Linked DNA regions of Coturnix japonica. The main gene of each other region encodes a partner of the protein of the gene in region 2 in a complex. Links are inferred from orthologs where the notes say so. Each region holds a gene or a part of one and is shown on either strand. Other genes may lie near its edges.

Evidence for each region. Proteins that work in one complex are often made in the same cells at the same time.
Region 1: the proteins of CCT4 (region 2) and PDCL3 are in contact, whole or in part, in a cryo-EM structure (PDB 8I9Q), measured with the Homo sapiens proteins. The link is inferred for Coturnix japonica from reciprocal best matches to the Homo sapiens genes CCT4 and PDCL3. Residues at the interface, in NP_006421.2 of Homo sapiens: Val266, Gln271, Met272, Leu276, Glu279, Arg280, Leu312, His315; in NP_076970.1 of Homo sapiens: Ala70, Ile71, Tyr74, Arg75, Arg78, Leu79, Trp82, Lys86.

Annotation. Positions count from the first base shown.
Region 1 is NC_029516.1:119,999,041-120,009,090, forward strand, and holds PDCL3 (phosducin-like protein 3), read left to right. Parts: upstream 1-4,570; 5' UTR 4,571-4,671; coding exon 4,672-4,677; intron 4,678-5,492; coding exon 5,493-5,622; intron 5,623-6,243; coding exon 6,244-6,334; intron 6,335-6,651; coding exon 6,652-6,795; intron 6,796-7,227; coding exon 7,228-7,436; intron 7,437-8,048; coding exon 8,049-8,191; 3' UTR 8,192-8,458; downstream 8,459-10,050. Other genes in the region: histone H2A, sperm-like, read right to left, coding at 1,619-2,038. UniProt on the Homo sapiens protein: Acts as a chaperone for the angiogenic VEGF receptor KDR/VEGFR2, increasing its abundance by inhibiting its ubiquitination and degradation.
Region 2 is NC_029518.1:13,359,138-13,369,197, forward strand, and holds CCT4 (T-complex protein 1 subunit delta), read left to right. Parts: upstream 1-3,480; 5' UTR 3,481-3,625; coding exon 3,626-3,743; intron 3,744-4,100; coding exon 4,101-4,153; intron 4,154-4,423; coding exon 4,424-4,513; intron 4,514-5,065; coding exon 5,066-5,174; intron 5,175-5,299; coding exon 5,300-5,442; intron 5,443-5,764; coding exon 5,765-5,886; intron 5,887-6,027; coding exon 6,028-6,160; intron 6,161-6,490; coding exon 6,491-6,630; intron 6,631-6,892; coding exon 6,893-6,989; intron 6,990-7,294; coding exon 7,295-7,405; intron 7,406-7,636; coding exon 7,637-7,767; intron 7,768-7,851; coding exon 7,852-8,086; intron 8,087-8,602; coding exon 8,603-8,716; intron 8,717-8,960; coding exon 8,961-8,975; 3' UTR 8,976-9,174; downstream 9,175-10,060. Other genes in the region: protein FAM161A, read left to right, coding at 9,483-9,767. UniProt on the Homo sapiens protein: Component of the chaperonin-containing T-complex (TRiC), a molecular chaperone complex that assists the folding of actin, tubulin and other proteins upon ATP hydrolysis.

The sequences.
Region 1 (10,050 bases), on a different chromosome or scaffold from region 2:
TGCCATGCTGCAAACTGCATGAAATGAGTATCTTGATTGAATCTTCCCTCGTTACTGCAAGTTGTAGATTTTTGCTTCACTGAAAGAAATAATCCTTTCCATCATGGCTTTATATGGTCAAATAGTGGGATTAATTTGATTTTCACACGTTTATTTCTTATATATATCCTTTAAAACATTTCTTTCTGCAGTTAACAGCACAAGGATGAAGTTGTATGTAGGACAAGAGGGACTAGAAGAAAAGCCTTAAGTTGTGCTAGGGGACATTCAGGCTGGATACTGGGAAGGACAGCTTCTTCAAATGAATGGTGAGGCAGTGGCACAGGCTGCCCAGGGAAGTGGTAGAATCATCGTCTCTGGAGGTGTTTGAGAATGTGTGGATGTGGCACTGAGGGACATAGTGGGTAATATTGGTGATAGGAGAACACTTGGGCTAAATGATTTTAGAGGGCTTTTCCAACCTTAATTATTCTATGATACAATATATCATTACACACAAAGCTATGGGTCTACTTCCAGGTGTTTTTACATCTCTTTACTCCAACATCCCCCACTTTCTCACTCCAGCCAAAACCTCATCAAACTGATCTTTGCAAACAGGCTGATACAACACCTTCAATTGCCCACTACTGTGAAAAACTCAAGATGTTCACTTTGCTCAGGTATCCTTCTCCTTTTGCACTCCTACTCAAGTGCAGCTTTGAGCTATTTACCTTGTGAATCACTACAGCTCCAAAGTCCCTCAAGATTGTAAAGGCTGACCTGTAGGTTCTGACATACTCATGCTTTGAGGGCACCCAGGTCAAATTCAACATGACAGGCATATCTCTTAGAAAACAGGTTTTCACTCTGCTTGTAGTTTAGTAAGATGGTCCTAACCAGCTCTTCTCTGTGAGATGCTGTGAAGTCTGTGAGGCAGTACCTCAAAGGCAGACTGATCCCACTACACTTGCGCCAGATCCCATTTTCCCACTCAATAGCAAATCTCAACATCCACTACAAACAGAGAGAAAAGCCTAGGAACCTTCTCAATGGAAAGCTTTCACTTCCAATGAGTTGGTTAGCAAAGGCCTGGGAGTTTCTTTAGTTATTCCACACCAATAGAAAGAAGCAAGAAAATCACCTCCACCAACAGCACAAGGTTTAAGTATGCCCCCTGTAGTCAGTATGACAAGGAGAAGAGAGTAGTTTAGTCTCCTGCAAGAGATAGCTCATTGCAGCTCCCCAAACAGTAAGGTGTTAAAGCAAAGGGTAATCAATTCCTAATGCAGAATTAACCTGCAAGGTGCTGAACTAACTGAGTTCATGATAAGCATTCACACGAACATGTCTTGATTCCTCTGCCTGCTCTACAACCTTTACCTGGAAACATATTATAGAAGTAAACAAGCAGATTTAAGAAGTTATGTGGGTGGAATGCTAGATTAAGAAAACGACAAGGCAATCACATCTCTGTGGAAATGAAGCTGTGGAAAGGAGAACAGAGTTGCTTTCCAGGAACTTTTATTACAATCTTTAAAAGTACATTATAAAAACAGTGGAAAAAACTACAAAGAATTAAACAAATTAGAGCTGAGTCCCATTATAAGTGCATAGATCAGACCAGAAAAAGCAAGTTTCACTGGCTACCGGGCTGTTCCTGAGACACATTAGTACTTTTGGGCGTTCTCTTGGGAAGGAGCTGGGGAAGGATATTGGGCATAACCCCTCCTTGAGCGATGGTCACACAGGAGAAGAGCTTGCTCAGCTCATCATCATTCCTCACAGCCAGCTGAATGTGTCGAGGCAGGATCCTGGCCTTCTTGTTGTCCCGTGCAGCATTCCCTGCCAGCTCCAGGATCTCTGCAGTCAGGTATTCCAGCACAGCAGCCATGTAGACTGCAGAACCAGGGCTGATCCTTTCAGCATAGTGGCTTCTCTTAAGGAGCCTGTAGACTCGACCCACAGGAAACTGCAGACCAGCCAGGACTGACTTTGCTTTCTTTGGTGCAACTTCAGGCTTGCCAGCCACTGCAAGTTTCTTCCCCCGTCCAGACATTCTAAATAGCACAGAGAGACAAAGAATTGGAGGTTTTCACACTACCCAGGTGCTTTGGATACAGGTAACTGATAACAAGAGGAGATAACAGCAAGGATAGTTACACTTTCCACTCTTCTATACCAAGCAGAAAGCTTGTAGGAAGAGCAACCTACTGAAGTTCATTAAGAATAGATCTAGGATAACTGCTACTTAACAGCCAGTTTTTGAATGAGCCAGAGTGGTTTGAAAAGCAATCAGTAAAACTTACTGAAGCAGATGCAAAGAGCTCAAAAAAAAGTTTCTCAGTATTTAGAGTGTACTGGAGATTGAGGCAAGATGGAGGCAGGACCTCACACAAGGTTTGTCTTAAACAATAACTTACCTCAATACTAGCTAAAGACCAAGGCTACCCCTTTTTTCCAGGACTCTGCATTCAAACTTCTGTTATTACATTAGATTTTCTGAATTTGTATTACATACAACACCTCAAGCACTCACACAGCCCACTGTAGTCTCTAAACTCATCCCACAATAGATTCTGTAACTGCCATAAGTCTATGGAGGCTACTCTACATCAGAGAGAATGAATTAACTTTGACAACATACATGATAAACATAGATATTACTGTCAGTTTACTAGAACTCTAATCAAGAAATTCAGTCCAGCTAAAGAATATCCACAGTTAAAGTAGAAAACATACTTAATTCTCTTATTTACTCAGACTTAAAATACTACTTCTAGCACAACTGTTTATAATATACAAGAACATCTATTATTAGGTTAATATAGTTTGTGTAGCTTTTAAAAAGAAAAACTTAAGTATTTACAAGACAACAGAATAAAGTTTAAAAGGGAAGAAGCAAAACAAAAAACCCACCCCATAACAAAGCCTAAGCCAAGCCAAAGCTTATTACCCCCACCAAACATTTTCTGATAGCTTACACTGCAGATATACTATGCTACACTCACAGTTTCTCTACAAAGTAACCCCAACTTTTTCCCTAAGCATCAGAGAAGAAAAAAAGATATCCTGTTACCTTCCAAAGAGCTGTTGTAGCCTAATCTTCACTTTGCTATAGGCCACAGTCAAAGACAAACAATCCTCAGGAACCCATTTCCCTTAGCCTGGAGCAGTGCCTTTTATGAGCAAGATTTTCTCCCCATTAGTGGGCTCACCTGGACAATTAATGAGTCATTCCCACATGTGGCTCATCTTCCTCCAAACACTTGATTGGAGGGAAAAGGAAGAAATACAGACACCCTGAGGTAAATCCTTCTTGGAGGGGGCGTGGAAGCCCAAGTTGTCTTCAAGGGCTAAACTACACCTGTAGCTCAGTCTTTGTGATAATATCAGCTCTTAGTTGTTGGGGATGGAATGTTTCTGTTCATGTACCACGTGTAAAAATTAATCCTCACTTTCCTGCTAAGGCTTTAGATAAGTATATAGAGGAAATGTGAGTTTTAATCAAGTTGTGTGTGGGGAGGAAGCAGAGTACTGTGGGTGCCTTAGGCAGAGGAGGCCCTTCAGCACCTGAAGTGATGTGAAGGGGATGCTTCTAGGTGTGAGCTTCTCTGGTAACTCACAGCTTAATCTGAAAATATGGGCTTCTGGTGCTTGGGGTCAGGGCAGGAACTCTTTTCATTCACCTTGTAAATAATGAGTGTACTCTTTCTGCTTATGCCCTTTTTGTAGTTGTTTCTAGGTGCCCAAAACAGGTTCCAAGAGCAATGTGCAAGAACCATGCATGTGAATGGTATTTTCAGCTTCAGAAGATGAATATTTAACCAGCAAGGGCCCTCTTAAAGCTCAGGCCCCAACAAAACATTTGTACACTGAAAGCTATGGAAACAATTAAGCCTTCTATTCTGCTTGCCGGGTGTTAACTGTGGGTCAGAACTAAAATACTGTGATTTATAGAGAGGGCCTGCAGTAGATTCACAGAATCACAGAATTGTAGGGGTCAGAAGGGACCTCTAGAGATCATCGAGTCCAACCCCCCTGCCAAAGCAGGTTCCCTACACCACATTGCACAGGTAGGCGTCCAGGCGGGTCTTGAATATCTCCAGAGAAGATATTCACCACTTAGACAACCCCAGCTTCCACAATGATGGACATATGGTGCACATAAACATTGAGTGTTCCAATCCTCCAGGGCTATAGGACACATTCCATGCATCCAAATATTCATTTTAATGATCACTGTCAACTGCAGCTGTGGCTATCAATCTCAATGTGACTCAAAGTGACTATCTAGGTATCACCAGAGGGTGGTCGGGCACCTCAGGTCAGTGATCACAGCCCTGAACTGCTGGATTTCACTCCTTTCTCTCTCATTTGGAAAGGACTGTCTGGATTTTCACACAGCTCGCTTGCAACAGGCAGACGAGAATCCCTCAGAAACCCACGGTCTGTAGCTGTCTGTCACAGGCTCAGCATCACCACAGCAGAAGGAACCGAGCCCCCAATCGGGCCTATACCGAACTGACGGCAGGCCCTGCCTTATTAGGCGCTTATTAGGCTCCGGGAAGCGGCAGTGGCGACACCGCCCTCGCCCCGCCCCGTCCGCCAGCCCCGCCTCGCCGCGCCGCGCACGCCGGGACCGGCCCTGCCCAGCCCCGCCGCTCCGCAGGCCGCTGTCCCGCAGGCAAGATGCAGGTGAGAGCCGGGGGTCGTGGCGGCCTTGCCCGGCCTTGACCCAGCCTCATAACGCGGGGGAGCCTGGTGGAGCGATGTGCGGAGCCGTATAGGCTGCCGGCCCCGGGTCTTTCCGATGCTCCTCCCCGAGCTGGGCTGCGGCCGTGCATGGCGTTGTGGGGCGCCGGGTTGGGCTCTTGTCTCTTAAAGGGCAGTATGCGTTTTGCTGTTGAAGTAAGCAGGTGGGTGCGTGGTTTAAGCACTTCTGCGTGTTGATAGATGACAGGAGTCATCTATTTTAGCCTTGAGAAAAGAAGGCTGAGAGGGGATTTGATCCAGGTTTATAAATACCTGAGGTGTGGGAGCCATAGTGGTGAGGCTGGTCTCTTTTCAGTAGTGCGTGGGGACAGGACTAGGGGTAATGGGATGAAAGTACAGCATAGGAAGTTCCGCATGAATGTGCGGAAGAACTTCTTTACAGTGAGGGTGAGCCTGGAAACAGGCTGCCAGGGAGGTGGTGGGTCTCCTTCTCTGGAGATATTCAGACCCGCCTGGACGCCTCATCGTGTGGAGTGGTGTAGGAGCTGCTTTGCAGGGGGTTGGAGATCTCTAGAGGTCCCTTCCAACCCCTACAATTCTGTGATTCTGTGAGTGTTGAAGAGCCCTTAGTGCACAAGTAGTGTGTCTTGGGAAGCCTTGGTGTCAGGAGAATGTGTGCTGTGACTTTATGATGTTGTCCGCATCCAGATGGTTACACTTCATCACTGTGCTATGTCTTGCTTGAACGTACCAAAGCTCTCCTAAATACCAGTCATCCATTTCTTGTTTTACTGTAGGACCCAGAGAAAGACACTGAGTGGAATGACATCCTGCGTAAGAAAGGGATCCTTCCTCCGAAGGAAAACCGAGAAGAGCAGGAGCGTGCAAAGGAAGAAGAGCAGTTTGAAATCCTTCAGAAGTCTCTGGGTGAGCCCATGTGCCTGTGAAGCAACGTGTCCTCTTCTTAACCTGTGAGGGATCACAAAGTCACAGAATGACCTGGGTTGGAAGGGACCTCAAGTATCATGAAGTTCCAACCCCCCTGACTGGATACCTGAGCTAATTCTTCTGCAGGGCGATGTGTCTGTTAACAGTATCAGACAAATACGTTCCAGAATATATGGCCTCTTCCAGAGCAGGAAGACTCTCTTCTTGATGACAACTCCATGATTTTGAAACATATACAATTAAAACAAGAACTGTCTCAGAGGAGTATGTCATATGAATGTACAGATAAAACACCTCACAAACATTGTATGTGTACTCCATTATTCAGCCATCCCTGCTGTATTGTATGTTTGTGCTGAAGTCACAGAGCTTGAAAGCTAGCTGTGGTATTTACGTATCAGTGTAGCCAGCCTTTGGCTTAGAATCACCGTTGTCTTTACATCTATATGTATAGAGTACATAATGTTATCTGAAAAGGTAGTGTAATGTTGGAGGGGAAAAAAAAACATGTCTCATACCTAAATTCTGTTCGACTGAAAGGCTGATGAGTTTTGTTCCCAGAATGAGATACTTGCTGATATGATACTGCTTCTTTTCTAGTGAAAACATATGAGGACATGACTCTGGAGGAGCTAGAAGAAAATGAGGATGAATTTAATGAGGAAGATGAGAGAGCTATTGAAATGTACAGGTTAGAGCATCGTGTGGAACTTGCTTTATTGAAATCTTTCTTATTTTGCTTGTGTATCTCTTGTTATTTCTACCGTCCGGCTTCATAGCATAGCATCTGCAGAGGAAACATCAAATTCCTTTCATGGAGCACAACTGTATTTGCTGCATATTGATAGATTGAATATGTGGTGCAAATATAACAATGTCTGTAGCCTACTTCAACTTGCTTTTATCACTTTGGAGTTTCAACGTGTTTGTAACCTGCCTCTAAGTTTCAGCCAGATACTTTTAATGTATCTATTTTTAAGATCTCTTTCCCATTCTTTGTTGTTCCAGACAGCAAAGATTAGCAGAAATGAAAGCGGCTCAAATGAAGAATAAATTTGGAGAAGTTTTGGAGATTTCTGGAAAGGATTATGTTCAAGAGGTTACAAAAGCTGGGAAAGGCATATGGGTAGTCCTGCACCTCTACAAACAGGGGTAAGATCTTATTTAACCTCTAAACCTTTCTTGGCTCCTGACAAACGTGTAGTTAACGTGGAAACTGAGGAACTCAATGTGGAGTTAAGGGAGTTACTAGTAATTTGCTTTCTGTTGGCTTCAAGAGAGTTGAGCTTTGCTGTTAAAAGGATGTTACCATGAAGTGATGCTGCTGGTATCTTAATTAAAAACGAGCAATTAAAGCAATTAAAATGAACAAACAAACCAAAGATAAACCACACTAAGTTTACTTAGTGGTACTAAGTTTATTTGGATGCTGGAGTATTGAACAACAGAAGTAGTCAGAGGTTGTTTCTGGTACATTGATCTTCCCACTGAACTGTTATTTCTGACTGGTTTGTCTTCTGGAGAAGATTGCTATCAGATGAGTCTTTTTTAGTTCTTATGTGTGTCTCTGTCTGTTCTTGGCAGAATTCCACTCTGTGCCTTAATAAACCAACATTTAAGTGGACTTGCAAAAAAGTTCAGAGATGTGAAATTCATCAAAGCTATCTCTACCACCTGCATACCCAACTACCCCGACAAGAATCTGCCTACGATATTTGTCTACCTTGAAGGAGACATCAGAGCTCAGTTCATTGGGCCTTTGGTGTTCGGTGGCATGAACTTGACGAGGGATGGTGAGTGTCTGCATCCATCTGCTGTGAATATCTTTGTGGGAAACTAAAGAAGTTATGTGAGAATAAGGAGAATGGAGATCACTAAGAGCTGCATGATGATAATCGTTATCTTCCCTCCCCACCTTTTGGCTCAACAACACATGATTGAAGTGATATTTTAAAAGCAGCAAGTGTAGGCCAATGTAAAGGTACTTAGAAAGCTGTGGTTTGCAGGTTGGCAGGGAATAGTATCATAAAGTTGTGCTTGGAGACAGTTGTGCAATGGAAAAGGCCCTACCTGTTGGAAAGTAAGTGGAACTGATGCAATTCCTGGACTTAATTAGAGGTAAAGGGATACTTGTTGGCTTGTCAACAAAGAGGGAGAGAGTATGGCCCTGGTTTTGATGATGTTCGTGGTAGGGTGATAAGAGAAACCATCTGGAGAAACAAGTTGGGAGGAACTGAGGAGTATTGTCAAGATCTGATGTCCTTTTCTCTTTTGAGAGTAAATCAGAAAGGTGAGGAAATGTGTGTCGAGGTAAATTAATAAGCATATATCAAAAGGAGTCAGAGATGGAAATCAGCCTAGTTTGCTTCCCCATATTCATGGCACTCTTACTTTGCTCTGTGCAGAACTGGAGTGGAAGATCTCGGAGTCAGGTGCCATCAAGACAGACCTTGAGGAGAACCCCAGGAAACAGATCCAAGACCAGCTCATGTCCTCCATAAGGGCATGCGTCCCAACCAGGGGAGAGAGTGACTCAGAGGATGACTAACTCCTACATCAGCATCGGGGTTGATACAATACACTTACAGACAGTGTTCCTGCCCAAAGGACTGGAGGTGCTCATCAAGATCTTCCTGAACCCCAGAAGGGGAGCATTTCAAGGCACCTTCACTTGAGATTGTAAAAGACTTTTTGTATTACAGAGCCTGAGTAAATCTTACTCCAAGTTTTAAAATACAGGTATTGGTAGATACTAAAGTCTGTTGTTGTTATTTTATTAATAAACTGCTGACACTTTATTTTAAAGCATAAAATATGATCTGGCCTAAAGTGTAATGGTTTGAGTGTGTTAGTATAAATAATTGATCTTAAACATGGTGAGTTACAGCATGGCACTGAATTTGGCCTTCTGTTAGCCTGCCCTGTGTAGATGCTGGGTGGAGAGTGTGGGCGGTGTGTAGAGCTCTTCAAGGTAAAGAAGTAATGACTGAAGTCTTAGTTCAGCTCTATCTCTTCCTTTCCTGAATTACAGCTCTTCTGACACTGAGCTGTGTGCTTATTTTGGATTGGAACAGTAGACACTGATGAAATCTTGAGATCTGCATGAGGATTTGAGTGTCACATCTTTTTGACTTTTGTTTCTTTGGTAAAACAACTAAAACAACACTGTGGAAGTGAGCAAAACGCAGCAGGATGCCAGCTGATAAATGTTGGTTGTTACATGTTGTATGTACTGACACACTTCTTGACACTGGGCTATCCAAAATGCTACCAGACCTGAGCCTTTTTTGCTGCTTGCCTGTACAATCTAGGAAAAGGATCGCTTTTATTCTCCAAAGGAAAGCCAAGAAATTACTTCTCTAGGAGTCATTTAAGCAGATTCTAGCAGAAGTCTGCATGGCTTTTCTTTGCTTGCCCTTGTTTAAGTGTGTATTGTTTCATACCTTGAAATGAGCTCTAGTATATCAGCTGGGCTTCTTTAGGAGGGTGCTAACTGGGAGGAGCAGCCACCAAGGGGCGTTTGATCCAAAAAGTAAGGCAAGAGCTGGTCTGAAATAAGACCCTCTGTGAGATGGTTTGGAATGAATGTCATATCCTCAGCCTTTCTCTCTCCACATTGGCTGCTGTTAGCAGTTCAGCTGTCTTAGCGCAGGCACAGCTGCCATACTCTACTCAATTTATTTTTAAAGCTTATCAACTTTCTAGTAAGGAGGGCAGAAACTTCATTTTGTGTCACTGATTCAACACATTCAATTTAAAGTATAATCTAAAAAGTAGCTAGAGCTTTGGATGCATTTTTGCTTCTGTTACTAGCTCTCTTGAGCCTCTTTAAGGAAGGAGAAGGGCAATAACTGCAGGTAGGCTTTTGTGGTTCTCTGGACCACTGGTTTCTCCTGTTACAGTCCATGAATCAATGCAGTATTCTGTTCTGCCTTCAGTCTTTGCTTTCAGTACATCCTCTCTGTGCCTGTCAGGTACTTTCATCCAAGGACCTACGGTGAGATATCTTGCTCTGGTTGTGAGTTTGCCATGCACATCTTCCTATACTGATAATGTTTCATCTCTACTCAGCACATTCAGTTTTTAAATACATATCTATAACCAGTGCTGGACAGGACAGCCTATGTACTGCCAACTCTTAATTTCAGACCGCAGATGTGGGCATGCATTTATTATCATTACATAGTATGGAAGTGACCACGAGAGGTCTCTCACCAAGTCTCCTTCACAAAGCAGTCTGGGCATGCATGAGGATACACCTGCTAGTGCTGATCATTGGGTGGCAGAAGGACAAAATGCATCTAATGACTGAACCGTGTGAGACTGCTATGTGCCTATGACTTGTACCATCTTTTACTCCACTCTTGTACATCCTGTACTCTGAGATGTTTGATGAGTTGACGTTTG
Region 2 (10,060 bases):
TTGTGCCATAAAGCCCCGGCCGCAGAGCTGCACAGCCCTCAGTTCCTGCTCCCTGACCCCACAGGGACACAGAGGCAGGCACACACCCAAGGCCCCCCCACCTGCTGCCAAGAAATACCCACCTTCCTCTGGAATGTTTTGCAGACAGCACTGAGAGCTTCATTGGTTTCAACAACCAAAGCATCAAAGATTGGCACAACACTCTGAGACCTCTTACAACAAACAAAATAGAGATTCTTCTACAGCTCATATGTACCAGTTGCAGAAGTTATTGTATATCACAGGTAACGCAGATTCCTTTCCCTCTAGGGAAACTAACCAGTTCCTTCTAAGAATTTCTGAACAAGCACCATGAATTTGTTTAAAGGCAGTGCTCACTGAGCCCAGTTTGTCTTAATTCCTTACAATCCAGGAAGATACGGTTGTACAGAGACAATATTATTTAATAGACCACTTGTGATGAAGTTCTGTATCACATGTTTTAGAAAAGGTCATTACTTCCCCACGCAAACCTGACCTTGCTTATCATCAGCTTTACTAGTAACAACCTGAAATAAAGATGTCATATCATGTGCTGGTTGAGCCAGACCAGATAGTCACAATGAACTGGATCTCTGGATTTGCATTAACAAAGACCTGAAGGTCACAGATTAAAAACATACTGATAGAGCTAATGTTGTAGTGCATGATATACTCCTCGCTTTTTGTACATATCACAAGTGTAGCCAGCATTATTATAACGATGGATAAGTGTAAAACAAAGAAAACATTCCTGTCTAGCTTCCTCTTTTGCAATATCATGTCTACCCCCACTTACCTGTGTAGTTCTGCATCTGTTGTAACCTCACTATTTCACTTCCCACTACAAAAAAGCATTAAAAAAACAGCATGCTTTCCTACACAACCTAGTCTAGGGAACCTGCTCAAGGACAAGGTTGGACTAGATGATCTCCAGAGATCCCTTCCAACCATACAATGCTGTGATAACAGGCTGAGCAGAAATGTAAAGTACAAGCAAAAGCCAGAGAAGTGCTCAGAGCCTCACAGATACATGGCAAGAACTGCTGCTTCCATCACATGGGTCACAGCCAAGATGAGGCTGATAAAAGCAGCAGCATTTTGCAGAGACAGGTAAAGCAGGCTCTGTTTTCAGACTAAGAAGGTCTTCAGAAGCCCTAGTAAGCACTAAAAAGCAAGGCTGAAAGTTTTCTTGAAGCCTAATTTATAGCTTCTACATGATCCAAGTACATATCATTGCAGAGAAGTATTACTCAGCACCATCCCCATTCCCCGACTCCCAAAAGCAGAGCTGTCACTCCTGTAAACAGGAGCAGTGACCACTTTGGACACTTCCCTTTGTTTCAGTGCTGCAGATGGACACAAGCAGCTGAGCGGCCTCCCCCAGTGCTGGCTGGGGTCAGAGCAGTGAGGAGAGCAACCAGGGAGCAAAACACAAACTATTCCATCTGCGGGTGGAGTCCGACAGCTGCTGTTCTCCCAGCTCTGCTCCGCCTGCTTGTTCCTCCCCATATTCGTGTTTCAGTCCAATCCTGCTCTGTAGCTCCAAACGCTAAAACAAACCTTTGGATGTATGACAAAGGTACACCCATACATCTCTGAACCAATCTTACAAGCTAACAAAACTAGCTACCCAAAAGTGATCAGTAGTAAATCCACTTACCATGTAGCAGCTCAACTTGCTGTCCTATTTATCCCATCCCTCTCATGAAAGGAAGATCACCTGGGGGAAGCACTCTGAGCACCAAACATGCTTTCTCACAAGCTTGTTTCAGTTGTTTCCCCGGCCTTTCTCTCTGAGAATAAAATGTTACATGCATTCCTAAGATCCTTTTCCACTCACTTGGCAAGGCTTTTATTCTTTCTAGAGGTCCAAGTTCAAGCAAAGGAAGGCCAAAACAGCCCGCAGTGCGTGTGGGTGCATCCCCTGGGCATTGCAGCAGAGGTGCGTGCTGTTCCTCCTCCTTGCTCAGTATTTCAAAATCAGTCCCTGAGTCTCATGGAGTCATTTACATAGAAGAAACTCTGGAAAAAGAGAGATGATCCCTGAAAAGGCCTCCACTCAGAAGAAAAGTCATTCTCCTCAAGGCTCAGACACCTCACAGCTTTGTGGGCTGCAAGGGAATTGAGAGACCACGTCGTCTTCAGCGCAACAGATGTCATTTCTGAGGGCTCAGAATCTTGCTTTCCAAGAAGGATCTGGTTCACGCTTCATGTATGAAATAGAGATATTTATCACAGGTGGGAACATGCTTCATGTCCATGGAAACAAACATTCATAAAAGAAAACAACGTTTCAACTCCTGGTACTTTTTATCAGCAATCCAAAGTACGTAGTTTGTTCTGAAGCAGGGCAGCATATCAAGAGTAATTTCAACCTCTTTAAGACATAATCAAGCAAGACGATAAATAGCAGTTTTTTTGGAAACAATGTATTCAGGGAATAACCCCTCAGAGCAAGACTGGTGCTCTGCTGCCACCTACAGGGAGAGGATGGAATCACCCTCGGTACTATTCCACATGGAAACACCTTAGTGAAGAAACGGAGCTTGCACTTGTGGTCCTAAACCCCTTAACCAAACGGCAATTCTTCAAAGGCTCAGCAGCATTTACCCCAACATTCTGCCACGATTCAGCCTCCAGCAGCTTCTTTTCTCCACCGTAACCTCCCCAGAGTTAACAAAACCCTCCAGAGTGTTGATGAAGGAAAGGAAGGACCTCGGTGTGAATAAGTTCAGCTGCAACTTCAGTTTCTAGATGCTTGTGTTGCTGATCACACAACTCTTTGTTTCGTACTGAGGTGCTCACCTGTTTTTAGATCAGTAAGTGGAAGTGATGAGGATTATCAGTAGGGACAGTCCCTGTCCTGTACTGCTTTGCAGCAGCTCATCTGTTCTTTACTCTTTTTGTAGCATTATGACCAGGAAGAGATCTGCCAGTCTGATGGGGTAGAGGAGAACCATGGACATCTAAAGATCAAGAAGGGGGCTGCTGGCCGGGAAAACCCAGACTGCTAAATCAGTCTATGAGAACAGTACGATTCTTCTCACTGCTCCCTGCAAATTCTGGAGGGCAGAACAGTCAGAAACGATGGTAAGAGGGTAAGAAGAACAAGATAACGTGCCGGCACCTCCCGGCCTAAATCTAGTTCTCAAACAAGAAGACTGGAAGTGCATGCTGGCTCTAAGCACAACGGAGCAAGCAGCAAGCCTCAGCCCTAAGCTACCTTCGATATTAGAGAGGCTTTTGTTTTGACCAAACACAGTGAGGTAAAACAAGGTGACTGTGACAGCAACAGCTTTACACTGTGCTTCCTCCACAGCCCTGAGGTAACACCACAGCGCGGGAAGTGCTGCAGGACCCCGCGCGGCCTGTTCCTTTAGGTGTCCGCGCAGCTCGCCTGCACGAAGGGAATTCTTGGCTCCCAGCTCTCAGGCGCTGCGCAGACAGCTCTATGCGTGACGTGCCGCCTGGCGCCGGCTGTGAGGACCCGGTGTCGCTGCGGGGCTGTGGCGGCGTGTTCTGGAAGCTTCGCGGCTCCGTGAGCTGAGCGGGGCGAATCCGTCCCCATCCGCTCGGACCGGGGGTGTGTCGGCGGCGAGCGGCCATGCCGGAGAACACGGGACACAAAGCGCACGGCGGGGCCGGGAATCGGGCCAAGGGCACGTACCAGGACCGGGACAAGCCCTCCCAGATCCGCTTCAGCAACATCTCCGCCGGCAAAGGTGAGGGCCGCGGGGCATCGGCGCTGCCTGATGGTAGGCCGCTGTGTTAATAGGCCGCTGTGCTGATAGACCGCTGTGCTGATAGACCGATGTACTGATAGGCTGATGTACTTACAGGCCGCTGTACGCTCTGCTCGCTCCTGCCGCCTTAAAGCGGGAAGGCTCGGCCAGCTTCAGGGGCAAGCTGCAAAAATGGCCCCGTTGTATTATTGTATTATTGCTGTTCTGTTCTTGAGTGTGACTCGGTGCTGGTAAAATGAGGAGGGTGCCTTTGTAGTGGGAGACGCTGTTGAGGATGGTGTATGAGTGGTTGTAGCTCTGTAGATCATCTTGTAAATGGCGTTCTTCTCTTTCCAGCTGTCGCTGATGCCATTAGAACGAGCCTCGGACCAAAGGGAATGGATAAAATGGTAAGGCTTTTAATGGAAATACAAAAACTGAGATTGCTGAAGAGACTGTCATGCCCTGTGTAACTCACCAATGTGCTCCTTTGTCTTAAGCTGCTTTTCCAAGCTTGGAAAGCACTCCTTTGTTTTTATGATCAAATGTTATTTCTTTGTAGTAAAATGTAGCTTAAATTCTTATCTCAGTTTTCCTCACAAGGTTATTTGTCAAGCTGTCTGACGCTGAATCACGATAAACATTACTAGCTGCCAACCAGTGCTGTTTCTCCTTCTCAGATTCAGGATGCTAAAGGAGACGTGACAATCACTAATGATGGTGCTACTATCCTGAAACAGATGCAGGTTTTACACCCCGCAGCCAAAATGGTAAATACTTGTAACATCACTTGCACAACGGTACACGGTAGAGGTTCATTTCTGGGACAAGTGAACACAGATTGTAATGTCTCACGTGGGTGTCGTCTGTGATAGAGCAACAGCCTTTCTGCTGAGTGCTTCAGGTCTATTGACATTGATTGTGAGATGCGTTAAAGGATTCCAGGTCCTTATTTCTTACTGCTTAGGAATAATCTTTTCTGGATACGGTTGAAGATATAAAAGGTTTTTGACCCAAAGCTTTTCTTATCTGAGAAAGAAAAGTTGGTGATGTCCTGAACCAGTAGGACAAAGGAGAGTCAAAGAAGAAAACAAATGACATGATGATCTGGTGATCCTAGGATACAGCTTTTATTTTGTTGGAGGCTTCTGTTATTGCTCCAGCCAAATATGCATACACGTATGAGAAGCTGCAAGTTAGAAAAGATAAGCCCTGGTACTGTGGGTAATTCTGGTAGTGCTGTGTTCTGTCATATCTTTTTTATTTCTAACTGTCAGAGTTTTCAGTGAAGTCACATTACATTTAAACTCTCGTCCATTTAGTTGGTAGAGCTGTCAAAAGCACAAGATATTGAAGCTGGGGATGGTACTACATCTGTTGTTGTCATTGCCGGAGCTCTTCTGGATGCCTGTTCCAGACTCCTTCAGAAAGGCAAGCATATTTATTTTATATATATAACATATAATACATATTTCATATATAAGACTGGTTTGGAGAGAGGAGGAAAGACCGCTGGTTTGCAAGGGTGACCTAACAACCTTCTATGTTATTCACAGGAATTCACCCCACCATCATTTCAGAGTCATTCCAGAAAGCTTTGGAGAAAGGTATTGAGGTATTGACCAACATGGCACAGCCAGTGGAACTGAGCGACAGAGAAACCCTGCTGAACAGTGCAACTACATCACTGAACTCAAAGGTATGGCTGATACGTGAACAATCTGCAAAGCTCTCAATGGTTTTATTTTAAGAGTCAAAGAAATAAAGTCAAATTCGTTTTCCAAAGTCCCTGAGCTTATTTCTTCCCACCAGTGGGGCTCTTCTTTCCTCTTATTAAGAAGATAACCACGTTGATGCACCTGCCTGATGGACAGAGAGGGGAATTGTTGGTTTTTTTTCCAAGATTATAAAGTCAAACTAAAACAGAATAAGAACCTTGAGAAACTGCTGGCTGTTTTTGATCAGTGTTAAATCATGCATTGCTGATGTATTTTTCTCCCTTCCCTCATTAAATCCTTTAGGTTGTGTGTCAGTATTCCAGCTTACTTTCTCCCATGAGCGTGGATGCAGTGATGAAGGTGATTGACCCATCTATGGCTAACAGCGTGGACCTCAGAGATATTAAAATAGTGAAGAAGTTGGGGTAAGAAACAATCTTATTTAATTATCTAAATTATTTAGATATTCTTATTTAAATCTAAATTAATTATCTTAATTATAGGCCTGTGTCATTGTGGAATTGCTTCCCAAGGCACTAATAGCCACGGATTGTTTTTGTTTGCAGAGGAACAATTGACGACTGTGAGCTGGTGGAAGGGCTGGTCCTGACTCAGAAGGTGGCCAACACAGGTGTAACTAGAGTGGAAAAGGCCAAAATTGGCCTAATTCAGTTCTGCCTCTCTGCTCCAAAGACAGATGTAAGTTTAACTCAAGTGAGAAAACGTAAATGTAACAGCAAAATACGGATCTTGTTTAAGATGTGGTAATGGCAGCTCTATTCCACAGCTGTAATGAAGGCCTGCTAGTAATGAACCCCCATTACTCATAACTCTTAAACAATTTGTAGCTGGCATGAGAAAACAGTTCAGAACTCCAGTATCTCTCATAGAAACAAATTCTAATAGTACATTTGGCTGTAATCTGTTTGTACGTACTTTAAATCACAGGCTATTAAATCAAAGAATATATAGCATCCCAATGCTTATAAAATGAGCACTCGTTCATGATACTTGTTTCTTTTTCAATAGATGGACAACCAAATTGTTGTTTCTGATTACGCTCAAATGGACAGAGTACTGCGTGAGGAGAGAGCTTATATTCTAAACTTAGTGAAGCAAATTAAGAAGGCTGGATGCAACGTGCTGCTGATCCAGAAGTCTATTCTGCGGTACGTCAGTGCTGGTTTGCTCACCTGCTTTGGTCGTTTGGGGAACAGCGGGAATTGTTTGTAGTTCTGTAAAGTGGAAGTCAAAGATCAGGTTGATACGGAGTGATAGACTGTATCTGTCGCTCTCAGGGCTGGTGCTGTCACTAATGGGTTCTGGATTTCAGGATATCCCTACAAGGTAGTCTGAAGAATTTCAGCATTACTGCCAAGAAGCGGTTATGAAAATAATACCTTGGACTGAGTGCTCCCCTCTTGTTTTTAGGGATGCTCTTAGTGACCTCGCCCTGCATTTTCTGAACAAAATGAAGATCATGGTGGTTAAAGACATTGAAAGAGAAGACATTGAGTTTATATGTAAGGTAAAGTGAGTTACATAAACGTCTACTAAAATAACAGTTGTGTATGAAGACACCAGAACTGGAGTACCCAGCCAGTGCCAGTCTCTTCACACTTGAACAAATCTCACATTGGGAATGTAGTGTAAAGGCAGACAAAGATGTTTCACTGAAAGACATTCCCGTTCAGTAGAGCTGTCCCACTTTAAAGGGTGGATGTAAGAGCAGCAGTAGTACCTGTGCTTTACTGAAGTACACCATGGAGCATGGCTGCTGACTCTGCAGTTCAGATTAGTTTCCTTACTTTGTTTCTACTCTTATTTTTGCAGACCATTGGAACTAAGCCTGTTGCTCATATTGACCAGTTTACTCCTGACATGCTGGGCTCTGCTGAACTGGCAGAGGAAGTCAACTTGAACGGTTCTGGAAAACTAATAAAGGTGAGTGAGTGACAGAAGATTAATTCCTTCTGAACCATTCTTTTAATAACTGCTAACTTAAAAGTAATAACATAAGTAACAAGAGGCCTTAAAGTACCTGCTTGTCATCCCTGCCGAGCCTCTGGCTTGGGAAGCACAGTGGTTTTGCTCAGCAGACCTCAGTACTGTTAGTGCAGTTGCACAAACCAGATGAAGGCTTTCTCTTATTTCTCTTGTTTGGCTTTGTTCTAGATTACGGGCTGTACTAACCCTGGGAAAACAGTAACCATTGTGGTACGTGGATCTAACAAACTTGTTCTAGAAGAAGCCGAGCGTTCCATTCACGATGCCCTGTGTGTCATTAGATGCTTAGTTAAGAAAAGGTAACGTATCCATTTGGCCAGAATAATTTTGTATATTCACGTGGAAAACTCTTTACGAAGTTTGACTTCAATTTCTGTCCCCAGAGCTTTAATTGCAGGAGGTGGAGCACCAGAGATAGAGCTGGCCCTGCGCCTCAATGAGTACGCCCGCACTTTGAAGGGCATGGACTCGTACTGCGTGCGTGCCTACGGGGATGCACTGGAAGTCATACCATCTACACTGGCTGAAAACGCAGGTCTCAATCCTATCTCAACAGTAACAGAGCTGAGGAACAGGCATGCTCAAGGAGAGAAAACAGCCGGCATTAATGTCAGAAAGGTAATGAAGAAGTTGTACATAGAACTCTGTAGCTTAAATAAATAGGCTGTTAAAAGGAAGATGTACTACCTGAAATCTGAAATACAGAGAACAAAATTCTTGCTAAAGTTAGGAACTTACCCTGAGTACTGCTAATGGCAGGTTCTCATTCTACATCCATGGCGTTCTGGTACCTTCACATTTCTCTTCAAAAACAGTTTTCCAGCTGGAGTCACAGTGAACTTAAAGCAGGCAGGTGTGGTTAGAAGGGTTGGGGGTAGTACATGCAGTACTGCTGGGACAGCGTCTTGTTTGAACTGCTAACAGCTATGGCTGGTTTTTCTCTTGGCTCACTTTGAGTGGATACATCAGATACTCAGCAGCAGCCCTTTACAGTAATATTCCTGTTGAGAACTGAAGCGTGCAAGCTAATTGATAGTCTAACTCAGCACAGCATCACTTCTGGGATCCTATTAGAAGGTGTTAAACGTGGTTGTAGGCTCACGTGCACAAAGTGATGGTGCCTTCCTCTTGCAGGGTGGCATTTCCAACATCCTGGAGGAGCTGGTGGTGCAGCCGCTGCTCGTGTCTGTGAGCGCCCTGACTCTGGCAACAGAAACTGTGCGCAGCATTCTTAAGATTGACGATGTGGTGAGTAGCGTTTGTATCACGTTCTTGTTGATAAATGCCAGAATAGGTGGAAACACAGATGATACTATCAGCTGTTTCTACCATTTGGTCATCTAAAAACAGGGCACGGGAGAATTAAACTGCTATTGGCATAAGCAGGGTACCTTAAAGCAAGATGTTGCAGTGACTGTAACAATACATAAGCAAAGAAGTCATTGTTACTGTATTGTGTGGACCTCTCACATGTGCTGTTGTGCTTTTGCAGGTGAACACTCGATAAGCTGGATAAAGGAAGCTGGGACTGTGCTCTGCAGCTCCTCAGATGGTCTGAGCTGCAGCTTCCTCACCAGAAGCGCCTGTGTGAATTGTCTTAAAAGTCCACGAATGCTTATATGTACTTTTCTCATGTTAATTTAATACATTTCCTGGTTTCGGAAAGGAAATGCTGTTTATCAATAAACAGGCACCAGTCTACTTGAGTCTTTGCTTGATGATTTCACTAGAAAGGAGGTCGACTTCACTAGTTTGAATTAAATTAGCATTTACATTAGCGTTCCACATCATTGCAGCTCACATAGCATAGTTAGCTGATCCAGGCTTTGCTTCCCATTACAAGGTGTTCCCCATTTGGGCTGTGGCCCGGCCATCCCATGGTGCTAACAGGGCTCAGTGCTCAATGATTCCACCTCCAAGAGGTAGAAGACCATTCCTGACCTTAGTTTACCCGTACTCACTAATAATCCCCCATTTGTCTGGAGCTCAAACCTCTTAGAACGGGAGGTGACCAATGAGCGGAACCAGCCGCGCCCCCTCACACAGCCCCAGACGCCCCGTGCCCTGCAGCCGGCTGCGGTACCGGGCCCTGCGGTACCGGGCCCTGCGGTACCGGGCCCTGCGGTACCGGGCCCTGCGGCCCCGCCTCTCCCGTCCCGACACGTCCCCGCCCCTGCACGCAGCCATGGAGGCTCCGCACAGCGCGGAGCCGCCCGCCGCCTGCCCCCGTGCTCCCCTGGAGCCGCACAGCCGGGCGCCCGCTGCCCACAACCCACGGGATCCGCAGCACAGCGCGCAGGTAACGGAGGGAGCGGCGGGGCCGGGCCGGGCTCGGTGGGACGCGGAGCAGATGGGCCGCAGAGCTGTAAGGAGCTTAGGAGGAGCAGCGGAGGGCTTCGCTTTACAGCGGCTATGGAAACGGGCGGGGGAGGTGCCGGTTAAGGCTGTCTTAGAGCTGTGTTCTAAGCAAGAAAAGGACTTTTCCCTTCCAAAAGATCCTTCTGGATCTATTTCCCGATACAAGGATAAGGGCTCACAGGGACAGACTTCGTTATTTAACTTCCCATAAACGGCAGTCTCAAGCCATAAGGC